Linked DNA regions of Elephas maximus indicus. The protein of the gene in region 2 purifies or fractionates together with the protein of the main gene of each other region. This does not show direct contact. Links are inferred from orthologs where the notes say so. Each region holds a gene or a part of one and is shown on either strand. Other genes may lie near its edges.

Region 1 (7,553 bases), on a different chromosome or scaffold from region 2:
TGCCCGGTGTACGTGGGCTCTCCTAACCCTCAGCCCTTCATCTATGCTCACATTTCAGCTGCTGACCACAGGATCCCACCACCAAGATGTCATTCTACCACTAGTGCTAGGCAGAATAATGGCACCCAAAGATGTCCACACTCTAATCCCTGAAACATGTGAATATGTTACTGTACATGGTAAAAACGACCTTCCAGATGTCACCAAGGTTAAGAACCTTGAGATGGGAAGATTATCCGGGATTATCCAAGTAGACCCAACGAATCACATGAGTTCTTAAAATCAGAGACCCTTTCCCTGCTGCAAGAATCAGAGACATGGCAGCATGGGAAGGACCTGACCCACCATTGCCGGCTCTGAACACAAAGGAAGGGGAACATGAGCCAAGGGACATCGGTGGCCTCCAGAAGTTGGAAAAGGCAAGGAAACAGATTATCCTCTTAAAGCTTCCAGAAAGGAATGCATCTCTGCCGGCACCCTGATTTTAGCCTGGTGAGTCCTATGTTGGACTTCTGATTCATGGAACTGTAAGATAAAAAATTTGTGCTATTTCAAAGCACTACATCTGTGGTAATTTGTTAGAGAAGCCACTGAAAGCTAACGTACTACTTTTCCTTGATTCACAGAAAGGATTAAGTGGATAAAATTTAAAAATGTTTCCTATAAATTTTCCTGGCAACTTTGATGCTGCTATTACTCTCTCAGTTAGAGAACCCTGGGGAGTAACAACAAAAAATAGACAGAGTGACATCCAGCTAGGAGGCCATCCATGCCTTTCAGGTGCTCTGTCAACTAAACAAGTTTGAGAGCCACTGACCCAACTACCACAAAGCCTCAGTGAGCAGCTGAAGGGGGTGGCATCAGCATGGTGATCCCCTGGCAGTTAAAGTTGAGTGTTCACTCCCATGACCCAGAGATTGCAAAATGAGCACCTACTCTTTACTGAGGACTTTGCTGGGTGTCAGGTATACAAAAGCAGACAGAGTCCCCAGGATCAGGGAGCCCTTAGGGTGATAAATGCTATGACATTAGGACGTTCCGGTTGGCAGAAGAGCGTAGGGAGGGCGAGCATTGAAGCCAGACTTACCTCCCACAGGATTACTGCAAAGTTACACAATAAGTAAGAGAGCCTGGTCCCAGGGATGAGCTGGCAGGCTGAATTAAAACAACTTCTTCCCAGGTACCTAGACTATTCCTCCCTCAGCCAGCCCTCGGGTCCCTGGAGCTAGACCCACTGTGCACACTCACCTGTTTCCACGTCGTTAGCGTTGGCCGAGTCCCTCAGCCTCTTCAGAGCTGTAAAGAAAGTAAGAGTGTCAGTTTAAAAAAAACGGCCATGATGAACCTGAAAGTGGATGGTTTTCTAGTTAACCCAGTCGTCAGCCACAGAGAGGGAGAGAAAGATGCCAGCATCTGAGAGATACTACCCTGGGAACAAAGAGAAATACAAAGTGCAGCGCAATTAATGAAAAGGCTACATTCTGTAGCAAATTCCCCAAGGCCTCTGTATCTGGGGCCCTGCCACTTGTAGTGGCTGAGTGACCTTGAGTATGTCAGTTGACCTCTTTGGTCCTCAGGTCCATCATCTGCAAAACAAAGTTAAGCTCTGTCCTGCCAGCCCTGAGTTGTTCCAAGAATGAATGAGATGATTTACATAGAAGCTCTTTGTGAGCTGGTTACACAGATTATCTCATTATACTCTCCTTCAAGATAGGCCATTCCCAAATGATTTACCTAAACTTGGTAATTCCTAAGCAGAAACATTTTTCCCCTCCAGTGATCTGTATATTAGAGGCAAACAGAAAAAAATGCCTTTGTCAGCAGAGAAATGGGCAAAAACTGCAACTAAGATACGTAACAATTACTGACAGTCATATAAACTTTATGGTTTATACGGCACTTTCAAATACTCATTTAATCTTCACAACGCCCCTAAGGTGCTAGAAGGGACTCTTAAAACTCCCATTCCTAATCCTTCAGGGCCTCAGTTTCCATGTCATCCATAAACTATAAAAGATATTATGGTAGACATATATCACAGCAGGAGTTTTAGAAGACTCCGTGGCACACAACAACAAATAAACACCAAAGGAGACCTGGTGGTGGAAATGGTCAAGCCATGGACTGCTGACCTAAAGGCTGGTGGTTTGAACCCACCCACCAACGCCGTGGGAGACAGGTCTGGCAATCTGCTCCCCTAAAATCACAGCCAGGAAATCCTACCGGGCAACTTTACTGTCACACGGGATCACTATGAGTTGGAATCGACTCAGTGGAACACCCTGAGTCATGAAGTTTCTATTCGAGAATTGCCAAGTGTGAGAAGTCAGGAGTGACTGGTTCTGAGAAGGGAGTTTTTTGTTTGGTGTGTTTTTTGTTTTTATTCGTGGCCCTTAGCTGCTATAATAATTATTATTATCGAAAGGAGACTCCAGCGTCACCCTGGGCCCCTAGCTCGGGGTCTGGGGACAAGTCCGGGGCCCGGGGCTCCATGACGGGGCCCAGCAGGGCGGCAGCCTGGCCCCAGGCTCCCCGGCTCCGAGCCGCACGCGGCCGGCCCGCCTCCCTCCGCGCCCGCCGACCGCTCCCGCGCCTCACCATGCACCTCTTTGCCCGTGGGCCCGAGCCGGCGGTGAGGCCTGGCGGCGCGCCGCAGCCGGCCGGAGGGGATCTTGCAACGCAGCTCGTCGCGGGGCTCGGCGTCCTGCTGCCACAAGACGTGGAGGTAGCGCAGCGGGGACTGGGCTCCGTCGGACGCCCGACCGGGGAGGTCCGTGCCGCTGCCCAGCGCGGCCCCCAAGCTGGCGAAGGAGAAGAGGCCCTCGGGGCCCGTCAGCGGCTCCGGCGCCACCGCGCACTCGCCATCAGAGCTCGAGCGGCCGGAACGCGGCTCATCGTCCGCGCCCCCGGCAGCGGCTGCCATGGCAACGATTCCGCGCGGGCCTAGCTGGCGGAGCCTCGTTCCCGGCCGACCGACGGACCCACTTCCCTCCGCCCTAACTCTCGCTGTCAGCGAGCGAGCGGGCAGGGCCGGGCCTGCAACCACGGCAACCGAGCAGGGGGCGGGCTTGGGCCGGGAGCCGGGGAGTTTGGGGCCAATGAAAAGCTTTCCAGCGTAAACCCCTCCAGCCAATCCGGCAAGTAGGTCATAGTACGCGTAAGAGGATTGGACAGAAATTTCGGCAGCATGACTGGCGGACATAAAAACTAATCACAAATTAGAAGTGCCCACGGTCTTTGCCGTGCGTCCCTACCGGAGCCAATAAAACAGCTGAGTTTAAGACACTTTTTTTCCCAATTTCCCCGTCGGATCATGGGAAAGATAACGGGCAGGTGCTTTAGCCAATCACATTAAGGTTACCTGAGCCGCTCTGAAAAGAAAGTGAAGAAGCCAAAAATATATATACTGTATAATATTTTTTTGAATCAATAAACTTTAAAAATAAATAAAACAACTTAGCCAAAAGACTAATGTCCCATAGGGTTTCCAAGGCTGTAATCTTTAGGGCTAACCAAAAGGCCAGTGATTCGAATCCACCAGCCGCTCCTCGGGAGGAAGATGTGGGAGAAAGATATGATAGTCTGCTGCCGTAAATATGTACGGCCCTATGGCGCAGCTCTGCTCTATTCTGTAGGGTCGCTGTGAGTCGGAATCACCCCCACCACAATGGGTTTTAATCTTTAAGAAAGCAGTCTTCCCTGGAGCGTCTGATGGGTTCAAGCCACCCACCTTTTGGTTAGCCGCAGAACACTTAACCATTGCGTCACCGCGGCTGCCTAATAGGAGGGTAATAGCTCCTAAATGAGATAGATCTCTTAATTAACAGTTATGCGCTCTGCTGCTAACTGAAAGGTTGCCGGTTCCAACCCACACAGTGGGTCCACGGCAGAAAGACCTGGCGATCTGCTCCTGTAAACATTATAGCCTAGAAAACCCTCTGGGGCAGTTCTACACTTTCGCTTTGAGTCAGTCGACTTGAGGGCACCTGACAACAACAAACACCAGAGGGCACTTCAGTCAGGATTCTGTCACTGAGCCAGACATCTCTCTGTGCCCGATCCGGAACGCCCAGGACACAGGGTCAGACTCAGTTCCACTGAGATGCTCACGTTCCCCCGGTGAGAAGTCAGACCCAGAAAAAAGAAAATGTCTGGCTAGTTAATACAAACTTACTAACTTCTCATAGATGCACTGTTTTGAAAGAATTCTCACATCCCTGTACCCCGCAAATATTTCTCTAAGGTCGGTAAGGAGGACTATCACTATTTTATACATTAAAAAAAAGAAGAAGCTTAAACTGATGCCCAGGCTTTATGGGACAATGCCCATGACTTATGTTCCAGTCAAGGGCTCTTCCCACTCCATTGCACCAGTTAAAATGTTTGTCTGAGTGTTGAAAAAGCACTTCTACGTTTTGCAGTGCCTGAAAAAAACAATTATGAAGACTGTCATTGTACTACCCGCTAACTGCATGGAGAAAAATACTGTTTGTGTTTAAGCTCTCCTCCTCTACCTCTTCCCCATCCCTGATAAGGACATACACCAACGGCACTTGTAGTTAGAGTGAACAGAAGAAAGAACCACACATTGTTGAATGTGTACGATTTACCAATCACATTGTGCAGGGGGTCTCCATGAGCCGGAGGTCTACTCAATGGCAGTTAACAACAACAACCGTGTACCAAGGTCTTTATATATATCGTTTAGTTCTCCCTCACCACAGCATTAGCAGATAAGCATTATTATACCCACTTAAAAAAAAAAAAACCATTGCCGACAAGTCGATTCCAACAGATAGCGACACTACAGCACAGAGTATAACTGCCCCATAGGGTTTCCAAGGAGCGGCTGGTGGATTCAAACTGCTGACATCTTTGTTAGCAGCCAAGATCTTAACTTTTAGGTCAGGAAGTTGAGGCTTTGACCCAAGATTGGAACCATTCCCAAAACCAACTCTGCAGACAGGGATTGGCCTGGACTATTAGATAGACAATGATGCTGGTGAGGAGTGAACTTCGTGGCTCAAGTAGTCATGTGAGACTATGCTGGCAACTCCTGTCTGGTGGCGACATGAGAAGGAAGAAGGATACAGGAGCTTGTTGAACAGACATAGCAAATACAAGGTGGAGAGGAGGAATGTGCTGTCTCATTAAGGACTTAAGGACGGAGCAACTGGGAGTGCACAGCAGGGTGTGTATGACTTTTTGTATGAGAGACTGACTTGATTTGTAAATTTTCACCTAAAGCACAATAAATAAATTTTTTACAAAATCGAGGCTTTGAGATCATATCAAGAACATCTTACATGAAGGAAGCAAAAGTCATTAAAAAGATAGGAAAGAAAAGGCCAAAATGGATGTCAGAAGAGACTCTGCAACTTGCTCTTGAAGGTAGAATAGCTAAAGCGAAAGGAAGGAATGATGAAGTAAAAACCTGAGCAGAAGATTTCAAAGGGCGGCTTGAGAAGACAAAGTAAAGTATTGAAATGAAATGCCCAAAGACCTGGAGTTAGAAAACTAAAAGGATAAGAACATGCTCAGCATTTCTCAAGCTGTGAGAACAGAAGAAAAAATTCAAGCCTAAAGTTACAATTTTGAAGGATTGTATTGGCAAAATATTGAACAACCCAAGAAGCACCAAAAGAACATAGAAGGAATAAACAGAGTCATTATACCAAAAGTATTGATCAACATTATATGCTGAGCATATAATCCAAGAAGCTGAACTATATGAAGAAGGACAGGGCATCAGGATTGGAGGAAGACTCATTAACAACCTGAATTATACAATGACACCATCTTGCTTGCTGGAAGTGAAGACTTGAAGCACTTACTGATGAAGATCAAAGACCACAGCCTTAAGTATGGATTACACCTCAACATAAAGAAAACAAAAATCTTCACAACTGGACCAGTAGGCAACATCATCATAAATGAAGAAAATATTGACGTTGTCAAGGATTTTATTTTACTTGGATCCACAATCAACACCCACGGGAGCAGCAGTCAAGAAATCAAAAGAGGCATTACATTGGGCAAATCTGCAAGAAATCTCTTTAAAGTGTTAAAAAGTAAAGATGTCACCTTGCAGACTAATGTGTGCCTGACCCAAGCCATGGCCTTTTCAATTGCCTCATATGCATGAGAAAGCTGGACAATGAATAAAGAAGACTGAAGAAGAATTGATGCTTTTGAATTATGGTGTTGGCAAAGAATATTGAATATAGCATGGACTGCCAGAAGAATGAACAAGTCTGTCTTGGAAGAAGTATAGCCAGAGTGCTCCTTCGAAGTTAGGATGGCGAGACAGAACTGGTTTGAAAAAAATTTGCTTATAGCTTATGTCAAAGGAATGCTGAAATATGATCGCTAAGTTAGATTCAAACCAGTTCACATCCCACAGGGCAATAAAACTGTAACCTTTGGGGTCATCTTCTCAACTGGACAGATAATCAGGTTGTACAGGTTGATGATTTTCGACAAATGTATACACTCATGTAACCACCATCCCAGTCAAGATATAGAACATAAGAATTATATTTTTAACAATATAAGAATTATTGTTTTAGGCTATAGAGAGAGGGCTCTGTGTTTTCAGGAAAATGAGTGAACATTTGTGTACAAAAACAACAGTCTTAAATGTCTATGATGAAAGAAAGGATCCAACTTAAGATGTGGTCAGGAAACTTCACTCATTTGTTATATCTAGCAGCCCCCGTTTAGATTTTGCTTTGTGACCCTCATACCAAATGCTAAGAATGCTTCTAGCTCTGATTTGTGCAGAACAGCTACTGCTCTCCCAGGGCCCACGTGCTATTGCCATAGGTGGAAAGGAGTCCTGAGACCACGCCCAGGGGAGTGGAACAAACGGGATAGTAAGTGAAATACATATCAACCCCCAGGGTGCAATGGGATGTGGGGCTTGAAATGAATACAGCAGAAGAGCCCAGGCCAACTGTAAGACATGGCTATCCTGAGGCAGAGAATTTCCTGCTTCAAACCCCAGGCAAAAGAAGATCAAGAGAAAATACGGCAGCTTTTCAGCAGCCAAATTCTGTCAGCAATTCTCCTAGGTAAAATCATTCCAGGAGCTTTGGTCTGTTCACAGTTTCTTTCCCTTTCACGTACTGCTTTTTTATCAACAAGCAAGCTTTGCAAAATCAAACACCCTGTGCTCAGACATCTCATAGTCTATGTTGGTGTTCAATTCACTTTTAGATCAAAGATCCTTTTCTGAGCAGGCTTAATGTGCTGCCAAGAAATGGAATAGGTTCCAATTCAAATGCAATTCTACAAATATGGATTGAGAGTGGAAGAAAGAGAGAGGAGGCTATTACAATAATATACGCGAGATGATGGTGGCTTGGGCAGGGATAACAGAGACCAAGATGGGGAAAGGAAGAATCTGGGAGTGTTTGTGAAGGTAGAGCCAATGAGATTTGCTGTGGTGTGATGGATCGATTTTATGTGGCCTTTCTCACCACAGCCTTGTAACTCCTAGCAAATGACTGGGTGGGACTATGCAAATCAGGTGCTTGTGGCCCACCAAAGGG
Region 2 (7,019 bases):
GGTCCTGTGCCATTTTATCATGTTTAACGTTATTCCTGATTATTTCCCCATGTTATTGGGATTTCTCTATAAGCATCATTGAAGTGTCTGGATGGCACAAATGGTTTGCACTCAGCTACTAACTGAAAGGTTGACAGTTTGAACCCACCCAGAAGCACAGTAGAAGAAAGGCCTGGCAATCTGCTTCTGTAAAGATTACAGCCAAGAAAACCCTGCGGAGCTCAGTTCTACTCTGTAACACATGGCGTTGCCATGAGTCGATGGCAACGGGTTTGGTCGTATTTTATCCTTTTATAAGCATCATTTACTGAGTCAAAAAAGTACGTGTATTTTTTCATTTTGTTACATATTGTCAAAATGGTTTCCTGGAACATTGTACCAATTTCCACAACAAATAGCAGTTTTTGAGAGTCCCCTTACCCCTGCACTCTCAACTCCTTTATGCTCCATGTCTAACCAATTCATTTCCCTATTTTTGTTCACACTTCAGTGTTTTGCAGACTAATCTATTATTTCCATTGAGGCAGTGATCTTGGACTCCAGTACGTTCCAACCTCTAACTTGTCTCAAATTTACTTCTCTTGGCTCTCTAAAATTTTCTTCTGGGGTGAGCTAATAAAATGCAGTTTATTTTCATTTCAGGGAGGCAGGCCAGTAAGATGAGCTTCTCATTGAGGTTCAAATAACCAACAGTAGCCTAACAGCCATCTAGTGATGGCTTTCAGAGAGCCAGCCTAAACCCGGCATATTAAGGTTTCCAGCTTCCCAAAGCTCTCTGAACACACTCAGCCACTGCACTTAAATCTCCATAGAAACTGAAAGTCACATGTGGCCCAATTGTTTCAGGGTCCTCAGAGGAGTTCTCTTTCCCCCTCCCTTGGCTTCATTTGCATAACCAAGCAGCTTCAGGGGAAAATAGGTCAAGGTTTCTTCTGTAGCTTCTTGTTGAGCACTGACTCACTGAAAATTCTAGCTCACTCTTATTCCCAGGAGTTGCCAATCAGATCTGAGTATCATTGGGGAAAAGTGGCAGGTACCTGAGGACTTTTTGGAGAACATCCATACCTGGGTTTTCATAAGCCATATCTTCCCCTTATGAATCAACTCGACAGCTGCAGGTTTGGTTTTTGGATCTTACCCTTATACCTAAATCACTTCCTGGTATGGGTCTAGTCCACTGAAAGGAAACTCTTATAGGAAACTTGCCAGAATGGAAATAATAAATCATAGTGATGGTAATTTAAGATTGTCATCAATATCCTAGAAGTGGGTAGAAAGTTACACCAGTTCTCACCATGAAGAATTTACAAAGGATTCTAAACCAAAACATCAATAGCTATAAGCAACATGAGTTTGAACTTTAAAATAAGCAGCTAGTTTAGTGTGATGATAAAAGGGGTCAGAATAGAGCATATAGGGCTAGCCCTAAGGGGTGCCGTTTCTGGCGGCTTTAGGTTTCCATGAGCATTTGCATTTTGTGGCTTATTTGGAGGGTGACATTGTTTTATCAAATAACTGAAGCTTCGGAGAGGGCATAGCACCCTTGCTTCAGGGGCTTGGCATGCAAAATGAGTCAAGGAGCAGAACTAATACACAACTAAGAGCACAGAGGACAGCCTCTGAGCTGTGCAGACTCCCAACATCAGGATGTTGCTGCTGCCCTGCCTCTGGAAACGCACAGCACCGACTAGAGACTTCCAGCTTGGAGAATTGGTGGCTGAGAAATCGCACTGGGATTCCAGCTGGAGGTCCAGCAACTCATCCAAGAACGTTTTCAACAGGGTCAGCAATCTCTTATATTCTAAATGTCATTTCATTCGCTCTAAGCAGAGCCCTCTGAGGACACTGGCAGATCTCAGGTGGAATAAAAATAATAGCCAACACTGAGAGATAGCACTTGCTATGTACTAGGTCCTATTTTAACTGCTTTACATATATTAACACTTTGAATCCCCGCAACAACCCTATGAGGAAGGTACTAGGCAAATAGGGTAAAGGGAAAAGAGTAGGGGAAGGAAAGGGCAAGAAAAATCCAATGCATCATTTATTAAGTGCTGACTTTGTGCCAGGGGATATAGGAATGAACAAAATACAGGAGGGTATAAAAAAGAGGGGAGATAGGTAGAGAAAGGAGGAGGAAGAGAAGAAGGTGGAAGATGAGGAGGGAAATAATGAAGACCAGAGAAAAGAAGGCCATGCACATGGTAGGCAGTAGTAATAGGAGAAAGCTTCACCACGACCTCAGGGTTTGGCCACACAGTGTCTGGGCTGAGGCTAAGGCTGCCTTCTTCTGGCCAAGTCTCTTACCCCCTATTACCACGAGGTTGGCTCAGCCTCCACACAGTCCCTCCAACAAGCCAGCTCCGGTCCCAGGCCCCGGTTTGGCCTGATGCAGCTCTACGTAGTTAGCTTTTCCCCCGCTCACGAAGGTCAACTGCCTATTGTGGCATGTGAACTTTGACAGTTTTCTCAGAGAATCTGCCTCATAAAACTTCTTCTAAGGGCTTCGCTGACACAAATCTACATTTTGAGTCTTCAAGCACTATTTGACCAAAGGGCTTATTTTTATCCCACTGGCACCTGCGGTGTTATTTTTCCGCCAAGTTTTGCAGAGGCGCCCCTTTCCAACACTGGATACCTGTTCAGACGGTCATCTCTTGTTACCTTTTTCTCTTTGTGCCCCTCCCCACCATATCCCTCCTTAAAAAAGACCCCTAAAGCCCCTTCTGATCACCAGAAGGGACTGCCAAGACCTTGTGCTGAAGATACTACCCCCCAGCCCAGCAGCCTCCTCCGCCAGCCGACTCTATGGCACCAGCCCTGCTTTCTCTTTGGCCTTCAAGGGCCCCCAGAAAGGTACTTGCTACTGCTGCTGCTTCCCAGCCCCTGCCATGCCCCAGACCCACCTCAGTCCTGACTTAAAGCAGGTAGCTTCCCAGATGCATTGAGATGCCGGGACTTTGAAGGTGGGACTCGATCTCAGAAGACACTGGCCCTGGAGACATATTCTTACAGTCCAGAGAGGAAGGACAGTCTGAGCAAACCCCACCCTTTCACAGCCACTCAGTTCCCTTTTTTTGTTTCCTGACTTAAACCAATGTCTTTTTTTTCTTCTTAGCAGCATGGTATCTGGTTCCCTGCTGCTGTCCCTGTTCCACCCCCCCCCCCCCCCCGCAGCCGTCTCCGCCCTTCATTTGCTTGGAAACTCCAACGTGATTATCATGCTTCCTGCTCTGAAAGAACCCTCCTTAACATGACTGTGGCCATTGAGACTCTAGAAGGGGCTGGGTGGAGCAGATGGGTGGGCAGGCCGAGCTCCCCCAAGGTAAAGGGACGACATGCCGGAAGGACTGTGGGGATGGTTAGCACAGGGAGTGGAGACATATAGGAAAGAGGAGAACTGCACAGACTGGCTGAGACAGGAGGAAGGGAATGCCGAGGAAGAGTGTCTTTTGAGGCTCATGTCCTCTGAGGTGGAGGAGACTTGGGGCCACACAGGTAGAGTTGATGGTGAAGGATGGAGAGTGCTCACACAGGGACCCCAAAGTACAGAGCCTGACAGAGGTGGAGACAAGACTTCCCCCTGCTGAGTCATTTTCTAAGAAAGCATTTTTTTTCTATAGATAAAAGAGTCAGAATGTAAGCCCTAACAAGGGCTTGTGCCCTGTGCCCGTTCCCATTTCCTGTGAATGTTGATTTTCTCCATTTAAGATTTGGCCTCAGGAATTAACTCTTAATTTACACTTTGCCCTTTAATCCTATGAAGTGATAAACCAGACTGGGTGCACAACTTGAAGCCTAGATGTTTTCTAAACGGCCTCCTAGCCTGTTTCAACTGCAATAGTCTCCCCTAGGATTCTCCTTGGAAATACAGCCACTATTGGCTGCAGATAGTGATGGCAGCAGAGGCCCTGGTGACTGACCTGCTTTCCTACCTTGACACATCTGGTACTCTCATATCTACTTGTTCCTAAGCACTGTACACTAATGTAGAAATAGGAGTCCCTTGGGTGGCGCAAATGGTTAAGTGCTCAGCTACTAACCAAAGTCGGCAGTTCAAATCCACCCTGAGGTGCCTCAGAAGAAAGGGGCCTCGTGGCCTACTTCCAAAAAGTCACAGCCATTGAAAACCCTATGGAGCACAGTTCTACTCTGACATACATGGGGGTGCCATGAGTCAGAATTGACTTGACAGCAACTAGTTTACTGGTTAAGCACCTGTTATGGATTGACTTGTGTCCCCCAAAATATACGTATGTTATAAACTTTATGCTTATAATCCCATTTGGGAAATGAGTTTTCTTTGTTATGTTAATAAGGAAGTTTTAGTGTAGGGTGTGTCTTAAATCAATCTCTTTTGAGATATAAGAAGAGCAGATTAACCAAGGAAACAAGCAAGCACAGATGGGGGAAGATAGATGCCATGCCACATGAAAATCACCAAGGAGCCAAGGAACAGAAGCTGAAAAGAGATAAGGACCTTCCCCCAGGGCCCTAGAGCTAACACAGACAGAAAGCCTTTCCCTAGAGCCAGCGCCCTGAATTTGGACTTCTAGCCTACTAAACTGTGAGAAAATAAATTTCTGTTTGTTAAAGACACCCACTTGTGGTATTTCTGTTATAGCAGCACTAGATGACTAAGACAGCACCATACCCTAATGTAGAAACAGATCCCAGATCCCATTATAAGCCTGGCAGAATTTGTAAATCAATATTGTTGTTAGTTGCCATGGAGTTAGTCCCTGACACAATGAAGTGAAATGTTGCCTGGGCCCTCACCATCCACTTGCTACATTGCAGATCAGACCATTGTGATCCATAGGGTTTTCGTTGAATACACTTTGAAGTAGATCACCATGCCTTTCTTCCTAGTTCATCTTAGTCTGGAAACGCCATTGAAACCTTTTTTTTTAGCATCATACACTCAAGCCTCCAGAGACAGTCAGGTGGTGCCTGCACTTGAGGTGCATTGTCTGGGAATCGAACTGAGGTCTGAATAGAAAGTGAGAATTCTAGTACTACACCCTTTAAATCAATAGGGCTTTAAAAAATGGCATTTGTAGGATGTTAGAGTAGTTAATTCACACATCTGCACAAAGTAGATAAGAAACCCTGGTGGTGTAGTGGTTAAGCATTATGGCTGCTAACCTAGAGGTTGGCAGTTCAAAGCCGCCAGCTACTCCTTGGAAACTCTATGGGGCAGTTCTACTCTGTCCTGTAGGGTCGCTATGAATCAGAATCAACTTGACAGCAGTGGGGTTTTTTTTGGTTTTGGTACAAGTGTTGCATGATCTCCCTATTTTATTGATAACTTATATCCTTTCACTAGTCACCCCTGAACAGCTGCTCCAGTTGCCAGCCTGTGAACTGGCCAAAGAAATTCGTCCTCCTTCCCTCCCTTTTTCTTTAGTCAGATGCTGCTTACTGTCACATGCCCTGTCCCTTCTCAAGGTCCATTTTTGGGTGGGGACTGGGAGTTGATAGATATAAGATGGGAGATCTAGACAAGGGAGTGGAGGACAGGAGAAAGGGGAATGTAAATTTCAGGCTGTTCCTCGCCTTCTGCCCCACAGCTGCTCCCCTAACACACTTGTCTGTACTGACAGAACAACGACTGTACCCAAATAATGCAAATGAATGGCCTAGTGTCACCTCAAAAGATTCCCAATGTAATATAAGGTTCTATTCTTGGTGTTGCCCTGTTCAACATTTCTATTGATGACCTTTAGGAAGGTATAGAAGATACAGAAATGAAGATATAGAAAGTAGCCTAGCTAATTTGTCCATTGTGCAGAGCCGTGTGAGCTAGACTGGATGGTGGAATCAGAATAATTAGTTTTCAAAATGATCTTCATCACCTGTAGTGATAAGCCAAATCCAGTAAAATGTATCTTACCAGGGCTAAGGGTTATGTCCCATAATTGGGCCCAACATTAAACCTCAAAGATTCCAGGTGAAAGTGGGGTATCAGTAACACTTGTGAATATGGCTCAGGGGTTTTTGCTACTAGTAATCAAGTGAAATGTCAAGCCAGTGACGTGGCTGCCAGAAAGCCAAGGTGACAATAGGCTTCACTTGGAGACGTAAAATACGTACACAGAAAAGTCAATGTGCTACTTACTGCATGGTCAAGGCACATTTAGAATTATGTGTTCAGTTTTGAGAGCCTCATCTTGTTTTGGTTGTTAGGTGCCGTCTAGTCGGTTCCGACTCACAGCGACCCTATGTACAACAGAATGAAACACTGCCCAGTCCTGCGCCATCCTCACAATAGTTGCTATGTTTGAGCCTATTGATGCAGCCTCTGTGTCAATCCATCTCGTTGAGGGTCTTCCTCTTTTTCACTGACCCTCTACTTTACCAAGCATGATACCCTTCTCCAGGGACTGGGGTCTCCCGATAACATATTCAAAGTATGTGAGACGAAGTCTCGCCATCCTGGCTTCTAAGTAGCATTCTGGCTGTACTTCTTCCGAGACAGACTTGTTCTTTCTTCTGACAGTCTGTGGTATATTCAGTATTCTTCACCAACACCATAATTCAAAGGAATCAAGTCTTCTTCAGTCTTCCTTATTCATTATCAAGCTTTCCCATGCGTGTCAAACAGTTGAAAATGTCAGTAAACTATTAGCTGTTATAACTATTACTGTATAATGGTAAAGGGACCCATACTCTGAAGTCAGATTACCTGGGTTTGTATCCTGGATCCATTAAATACTGTCGACATTGGGCAAATTGTTGAACATCCTACAGCCTCAATTTCCATATGGGTAAATAATAATACCACCTACCTCCTAGAACTACTGTGAGAATTATATAATAATCCATTTTAAATGGTTAGTACCCGGCCTGGCATATACCAAAGAACAAAACAAAACAAAAAAACAACAACCCCATTGCCATGTAGTTGGTTTCGACTCATAGTGACCCTATTTGACAAAATAGAACTGCCCCATAGGTTTCCAAGGAGCAGCTGGTGGATTCGAACTGCCGACCTTTTGGTGAGCAGCTGTCTCTCT

What was found.
Region 1: the proteins of BTK (region 2) and ANKRD54 purify together in Homo sapiens (affinity purification with mass spectrometry; 4 studies listed by BioGRID and IntAct, counting the BioPlex papers as one, with this or other methods). This does not show direct contact. The link is inferred for Elephas maximus indicus from reciprocal best matches to the Homo sapiens genes BTK and ANKRD54.

Annotation. Positions count from the first base shown.
Region 1 is NC_064822.1:181,735,830-181,743,382, forward strand, and holds the start of ANKRD54 (ankyrin repeat domain-containing protein 54), read right to left. Parts: upstream 3,049-7,553; 5' UTR 2,924-3,048; coding exon 2,599-2,923; intron 1,297-2,598; coding exon 1,249-1,296; intron 1-1,248. UniProt on the Homo sapiens protein: Plays an important role in regulating intracellular signaling events associated with erythroid terminal differentiation.
Region 2 is NC_064846.1:56,724,572-56,731,590, reverse strand, and holds the start of BTK (tyrosine-protein kinase BTK), read right to left. Parts: upstream 3,051-7,019; 5' UTR 2,907-3,050; intron 1-2,906. UniProt on the Homo sapiens protein: Non-receptor tyrosine kinase indispensable for B lymphocyte development, differentiation and signaling. Binding of antigen to the B-cell antigen receptor (BCR) triggers signaling that ultimately leads to B-cell activation.